2 linked regions of the Anolis sagrei genome follow. The protein of the gene in region 1 purifies or fractionates together with the protein of each later gene. This does not show direct contact. Links are inferred from orthologs where the notes say so. Each region holds a gene or a part of one and is shown on either strand. Other genes may lie near its edges.

The links.
Region 2: the proteins of CORO1A (region 1) and POC1A purify together in Homo sapiens (affinity purification with mass spectrometry; 3 studies listed by BioGRID and IntAct, counting the BioPlex papers as one, with this or other methods). This does not show direct contact. The link is inferred for Anolis sagrei from reciprocal best matches to the Homo sapiens genes CORO1A and POC1A.

Annotation. Positions count from the first base shown.
Region 1 is NC_090026.1:17,575,855-17,579,605, reverse strand, and holds the start of CORO1A (coronin-1A), read right to left. Parts: upstream 2,717-3,751; 5' UTR 2,590-2,716; intron 1,569-2,589; 5' UTR 1,564-1,568; coding exon 1,366-1,563; intron 1-1,365. UniProt on the Homo sapiens protein: May be a crucial component of the cytoskeleton of highly motile cells, functioning both in the invagination of large pieces of plasma membrane, as well as in forming protrusions of the plasma membrane involved in cell locomotion.
Region 2 is NC_090022.1:69,061,233-69,064,983, forward strand, and holds the start of POC1A (POC1 centriolar protein homolog A), read right to left. Parts: upstream 2,188-3,751; 5' UTR 2,029-2,187; coding exon 2,011-2,028; intron 1-2,010.

The sequences.
Region 1 (3,751 bases):
TGAAAATCATCTCCCATCCAAGCCACTTTTCTGGTGATCAAAGATGTTCATTTCTTGTCTCTACATATGTCGTTCTGCCATCCACCCAGTGAAGGAGCCAGAACCGCAACCTGGGCAAAGGCCCAGTAAGAAAATAAGGACAAAAGGTCAAAAACAAGGGCCATTTGCCTGGCTGGGGAAAGGCACTTGGGGCTGTTTTCCCAGCAAGAGTGCTAGAAACAAAACTCATGTGGTTTTTCCCTCTGACTCCCCCCGCTGCCGCAGCTCTGCTCTGTGTTAGGCTTTCTCTGAAGAGCATGAATGTGTCCCTCGTTCCCACATCACGCTGGAATCATGAGACATATCCTAGGGGCAAGCACAAGATCTTTGTGGAGGAAATTGGGTGAAACAGGCCCAGCTTTAATTCAAATCTCTAAACTTAGTAGCCATAGAAAGAAATAATGGACCCACAGTACATCATGCCCTATGTAACCAGGTTCTTTTTCAAATCTTTGAAAAGTACAATTGTACTGTGGACCAAACCGTGGACCTGTCAAGGCCTCAAATAGACAAAAGACCCAGAAACAACTCAGCGAAAGTGGGAGGAAAACTGAGCCTAGGAATGAATCACAAAAAGTAGGGGAAGCAAGGACTGGGTTCTGCTGTACAATGGGAACACAACCCAGAGCATTTCAATAAAAGACCTGTATAAGAATTCAAAATGAACCTCTTGGGCTGCAGGACCCAGAATCTCCTAGACCTGATTGGGAGAATCCACGCATTACGGCCTAACAAGCTATTTCCCCAACCTCTGAACAGGATATGAAACGTGGAGGAATATGGAATTCACAGATTAATAATTTCTGGGATTTTTTTTCATGGATGGGTGAGAGCATAAATTATGTATCTGAGAGTCAAAGGCCATGGGTTCTTTGGCATCTCAATTGTGGGGTCAAATAAACTTAGGTGAACATGGAACTGGAGCCAACACACAAAGCAAAGCAAGAACTTGTGTTACCAACCCCTCTCCTCGTTTCCTTCCCGCTCTGCCTGCACCAAACCCACTAACCCACTTCCTCTTTCTCAAGGCCCTATTTCCGCAGCAGGTTCACACTTCGGGCCATTTAAGGCAAAAAAGAACCTGCCAAAAAAGATCTGTCGTTTCGGCAGTTTCACAAGTCTTTGGTTCCTCCTCCCTATCATCATCTTCCGTTCCCCGGAAACACAGTTTGGGGGGGGGGGGGGGGAGGTTGGGCAGGGCTAATACATGTAATTATAATTTGGAGTTGAATAGGCAAAATAACATTGAGGAAATGAAGAATTAATTAATTACTGGGTGGTTGGAAAAGCACTAGGGGTATCGTTTTTTAAGGGGTTCTCAGGTACCTTAGCTAACGGCAAGACTAAGAAGGCTCCTCCGCCACTGGCCTCCACGACAATGGCCAGGAATTTGGGGTTGACAGAGCAGAAATTCCCATCCCAGGTCATCTGAGAGACACGGATGTCGTCGTAGCACTGGTCAGCCTTGGCTGGCTGTCCGTAAACATGGCGGAACTTGCTGGACCTCACGACTTTACGGCTCATGGTTCCTGCAAAAGAGTTAATGTGCAGAGGGTCACAGAGTTGCTGTTGGGGGGATTTGATCACAGAGATGGGCCAGCCCTTAGTCCCAACTCACTATCTCAACCACAGTTCTGTCTCTGTACCTCAACAGAACTTTTCTATGGGAAAACTCTGGCTTTAGCTTTTTTTTAAGCTACGAACATGCCACCAGCTTTCTCAGCTACACCACATTCTTGAGCTCCATTGCTATCCAGGCTAAGACATTATCTTACAGCCATTGAGGAAAAAGAATGAAGAGAGTGTCATATGAGCTTACCAGCCAACCCATCCCAAAGATGCCTCCAAGTCTGCAATGAACTACATGATGCCCCATCCTGTGCTATCTAATTCTGATATAGTCTCCATAAGGTTCAACAGGGTTTTCATCCTTGTAAGTAAGCCTCAACCTATCAAAATAGTTAAGATGGCTCTCCAACAGAGTCAAGCCAAACACTGGAACAGGATGGGAAAATGTATCCACTAAACCCTCATGCCAGGAGCTCCGAATTGCATGGATAGTGTTCTATTTGATCCTTGCAAATCGTATGAGGAGAAATAAAATCCTGGGGTAAAAATTGCCCACAACCACTTTCTTCACTTTATGATTTGATGAGTAGTTGCATCAGTCCCAAATTCGACACTCTTCCATATTAGCAAGGCAATTCATAGACATGCATCCAAAGGGCTTCTAGCCACTGACCTGAGAAGAAATGAATCCCTAATTCTCAATTCAGCAGGACCATGCAATCTCCAAAAATGGAATGAACCACAGGATTTGGGGGGGGGGGGGGGTAGTTTCCCAGGGTCTCAAATGATCATATAAGTTGCACGATCCACATTTCTGGATTCTGCAGAACATCACCATGCAAAGCTTTGCACATTAAAAGGACAAAAATGACCCACACTCTCACCGCTTTGCCAGTCAGCATCCCCACAGCTATGCGTTGGCACTGCCCTCTCCCCAACCCAAAGCCCCTCTCCCTTTAGCCCCCAACCCTGAGCTCTCACCTGCAGCCTCTGTAGCGGATGTGGGCACACAATGAATTGAAGATGCAGCGGCTCAGAGCTTTTTAACAGAGCCATCGCCCTGGGAACTGTCAGAGCTGGGAGGGCTGGTCTCTTAAAGGGCCAGCATGCCGGGAGCGCACAGCCCCTGCTTGCATCTCCATCTCTTGGCACCCATCTCCAGGACTTTTTCTCCATCTCGCTTCTCTTGTTTCTTCCCAGTATACCTTCTCTGTCCTTATGGAGAAGTGCTGGCGTATCTGTGCAAAAGACAGTCACACAAGGTATCTCCACCCAATATTTTGAGAGAAAAGGGACCCATGTTTGGCAAAGGAGCAAGCTTCCTTCCAATACACCATGGGCAAACTTGGGCCCTCCAGGTGTTTTGGGCTTCAACTCCCACAATTCCTAACAGCCTCGGGCCCTTTCCTTTCTCCCCTCAGCCACTTAAGGCAGGAGCTCCTGGCTGTTAGGAATGGTGGGTCTTGGAGTCCAAAACACCTGGAGGGCCCAAGTTTGCCCATGCCTGCAATTCACACAGATCCCTTCACTTCTGCCCAAATCTCAGTAACCTTTTTGCTTTCTAATCACCCATCTAGTTAGCATTGGTAAAGATAAGCATCCCTCAAGATTCTAGGTATCCTTTATCTGAAATGCAGGAGATCAGAAGTGTACATGTCCCAAATGAGAAGTCTTGGAGATGAGATCCAAGTTATACACAAAATTAATGTATGTTTCATATACACCTTATACATTCCTGATGGTAAGAACTGTTTGGCAGTGGAATATGCTGTCTTGGAGTATGATGGACTCTCCTTCTTAGAAGGCCTTTTAAAAGCAGAGGCTGGATGGTCATCTGTCAGGAATGCTTGGATGGTGTATTCCTGCGTAGCAGGGGGTTGGACTGGGTGGCCCTTGTGGCCTCTTCTAACTCTATGAATCTATTCTATACTAGCTGTACCCGCCACGCGTTGCTGTGGCCAACCTTCCCTCTTTCTCTCCTTCTTTCCCTCCTTCCTTCACTCCTTCCTTCCTTCCTTCCTTCCCGTCTTTCCTTCTCTTCTTCCTTCCTTCTCTATCTCTTTCCTTCCTTCCCCCTTTTTCTTTCTCTTCTGCTGTCTCTTTTCTTCCCTCTTTCCTTCCCTCTTTCTCTACATCTTCCCTT
Region 2 (3,751 bases), on another chromosome or scaffold:
TGCCTTGATGTTCTGGGCTATATGGCTGTGTGAAAGGGCCCTGGGTTATCTGAGTGTACACTGCCAGTTCAGTGTGGATTTTATACAGCTGTGTGGCAGAGGCCTGAGTATTTATTTCTATTCTGGCCTTCAAAGAGGCCTGCACATTACGTTGGTCAGCTAAGAAAACTATGAGAAAAAGTTAGCTGAACTTAATACTAAAGAGAAAGGAGAGGACTGCGTTTTGGATGCTTTGATTAGGCCTCTTCCGCACAGCTGAATAAAATCGCACAATATCTACTTTGACCATTTCTGCTACCTTGACAGCCACCTCTGCACAAACGTCAGCATTGACACTGAAATACAACACCGCCTGAGCTCTGTGAGTGCAGCATTTTTCCTAATGAAGCAGAGAGTGTTAGAGGATCGGAACATCCGTAGGGAGACCAAGGTGTTTATTTATAAAGTTATTGTCCTCCCAACCCTGTTATATGCCTGCAAAATGTGGACTGTCTACAGAAGTCACACTCAACTCCTGGAACAAGTCCATCAGCATTGCCTCTGAAAAATCATGCAAATCTCTTGGGAAGGCAGGTGGACAAATGCCAGTGTGCTGGAAGAAACAAAGACCACCAGCATTGAAGAGATGGTCCTTTTTCCATCAACTCAGCTGGACTAGCTACATTGTCCGAATGCCTGAAGCAGCTTCTATACTCCCAATTCAAGAACAGAAAACAGAAAGCCCTAAACGGTTCTGGCCCTACTTACCTCTCCGAACGCATCTCCTCCTATGAACCGGCTAGGACACTAAGATCATCTGGAGAGGCCCTGCACTCTGTCCCGCCTGCATCACAGGTGCGCTTGGCAGGGACAAGAGACAGGGCCTTCTCAGTGGTGGCCCCTCGGCTGTGGAATGCCCTGACTGCAGATATCAGATTGGCCCCCTTCCTGCTGGGGTTTCGGAGGAGCTGTTCGAACAAGCATTTGATTAAACAGTATAATTGAACATAGGAATACGGAATAATGGATAACGAGACTGGATTCCGATTTTACTGTTGAGGCGCTAATGATTGTTATACGGATGTTTAATGATTTATGTTACAATTGTTTTTAATTGCCCTATACTTGTCTCGTGATGTTTTGTATTGATGTAGTTCACCACTTTGAGTTGCCTGAGGGCTGAGAAAAGCGGTGTATATATATAAATAAATAAATGTTGGTGGATAGGAAAAGAGATTTAAAGATGGGCTTAAAGCTAACCTTAAAAACTGTGGCATAGACACCGAGAACTGAGAAGCCCTGGCCCCTGAGCATTCTAACTGGAGGTCAGTTGTGACCAGCAATGCCGTGGAATTTGAAGAGGCACCTATGGAGGGTGCCAATAGGAAGGCGTGTCAAGCCAACCCTGGTGTGAGAGAATTGGCCCTTGCAGATGGCCAATTCTCTCACACCAGAAGCGACTTGCAGTCTCTCAAGTCGCTCCTGACACGACAAAAAAAATTATAAATATTATATTATTAGCATAGCACATAGTTGAACTGGGTTATCTGTGTCCACACTTAATGTGGGATTTTCTGCCTTTATATTCTGGGTTTTATGGCTGTGTGGAAGGGCACCGAGTCTCTTTTGAGATAGAGAATGCGGGATATAAATACATGTGAAAGGTATGTTTCCCAAACTAATAAACTCTTCCTTTCCAAATGACTCTCTGGTTCTCCCTTGCACCTCTCTTCCTCCTCTGTGAGGGCCCTTCCACACAGCCATATAATCCAGAATATCAAGGCAGAAAATCCCACAATATCTGCTTTGAACTGGGTTATCTGAGTCCACACTGCTATATATTCCAGCTCAAAGCAGATCATGTGTGGAAGGGGCCTGAGAAGTTACAACTCCCAGGCAGCAAAGGGGAGGGACTTAGTCAGGCCTCCCCCCGGCTCTTCTCCCACTCCACTCCCCTGCCTTGCCATTTCCAAGCCCTGTTGCCAGTGGGGCCAGCTTCTCCTTCCCCCGTTTCCCCCCTTCTGCCCTTACCAAGCAAGAAAACGCCATGTTGCCGAAAGAGTCCCAGCGGAACGAAGCCTCGCCGCGATTGTTGCCGCCGGACGGATTCAGTTTGCGCGCCCTGCCCTCCGCCTTAGTAACGGCGTCCTGCGCTTAAAGGGGAGGCGGCGGGGAAGGCCAGAAATGTTGCCCTCCGACAAGAAAAGAAAAGCGCGGGAAGAAGAGAGGGAATCCGGCAGGAAGCGAGGGAGGGAGGGAAGTGGGGGCGACTTCCTGTTCTTGGAAAGTATGCCCAGGACGCCTTTTCTCATCATGATTGAGAAATTTCCAAATACAAGAAAGCAGATATGAGCAAACTTGGGCCCTCCAGGGGTTTTGGACTTCAACTCCCACCATTCCTCACAGCCTCAGGCCCCTTCCTTTCCCCCCTCAGCCACTGAGGCCCCTTCAACACTGCCATATACAATCTAGATTATCTTCTTTGAGCTGGATTATATAGAAGTGTACACTCATAAAATCCAGTTCAAAACAAACGTTATGGATTTTCTGCTTTGATAATCTGGATTATATGGCAGTGCAGAAGGAGCCTCTAGGCCCCTTTCACACAGCTATACAAAATCCTATATTACTTGCTCTGAACTGGGTTGTATGGCAGTGTGGACTCAGATAACCCAGTTCAAAGTAGATATTGTGGATTATCTGCCTTGATATTCTGGGTTATATGTCTGTGGAAGGAGCCTCTGGGCCCTTCCACACAGCCCTATATCCTAGAATATCAAGGCAGAAAATCCCACCTTATGTGAGTGTGGACTCAGATAACCCAGTTCAAACCAGATATTGGGGATTATCTACCTTGATATTCTGAGTTATATGGCTGTGTGGAAGGAGCCTCGGTGGGACTGACTCTGAATGTTTTTTTTTCTTTCTTTTTTGTATATTTGTGTTGGCATTTGCTGGTTTGTGTTGTTGAAGGCTCTCGTGGTTGGAATCATTGAAAATAGCTGGTTTCTGTGTATTCCCTTAAGACCTTCACGATTACACTTCTTGGTATTTTCATTTTAAACATAATCCATGAAGGGGGTAAGGAAAAAAATATTGATGGTAAAGCAGGTTTTTGGTGTTTGCGTCTGATTTTTTTTTGCTTCTTTTTCTTTTCTTTTTTAATGGTTGCATAGTATCTGCGCAGTGGGTTAAACTGCTGAGCTGCTAAACTTGCTGACCAAAAGGTTAACGGGGAGCGGGGTGAGCTCCCACTGATAGCCCCTGCTTCTGCCAACCTAACAGTTCGAAAACATGCAAATGTGAGATCTGTGGGAAGGTAACGGTGCTCCATGCAGTCATGCTGGCTGCATGACCTTGGAGGCGTCTATGGACAAAGCCGGCTCTTCGGCTTAGAAATGGAGATGAGCACCACCCCGCAGAGTCTGACACGACTAGGCTTAATGTCAAGGGGAAACCTTTACCTTTACTTTAATATCTGAAGTACAAGGAAGTTTTTCTGGGTTTTTTGCCTGCTTACCTATCCGAATGTATCTCTCCTTATAAACCATAGGGCTTTAAGATCGTCTGGGGAGGCCCTGCTCTCGATCCTGCCTTCCTCACAGATGCGTTTGGTGGGGACGAGACAGGGCCTTCTTGGTGGTGGCCCCTCGGCTATGGAACACCCTTCCCAGGGATATAAGATCAGCTCCCTCCCATCTAACATTCTGCAAAATGGTTAAGCAAGCTTTTTCACCTGGAGCATAACTAGATGAAAATGAATATACGGAAC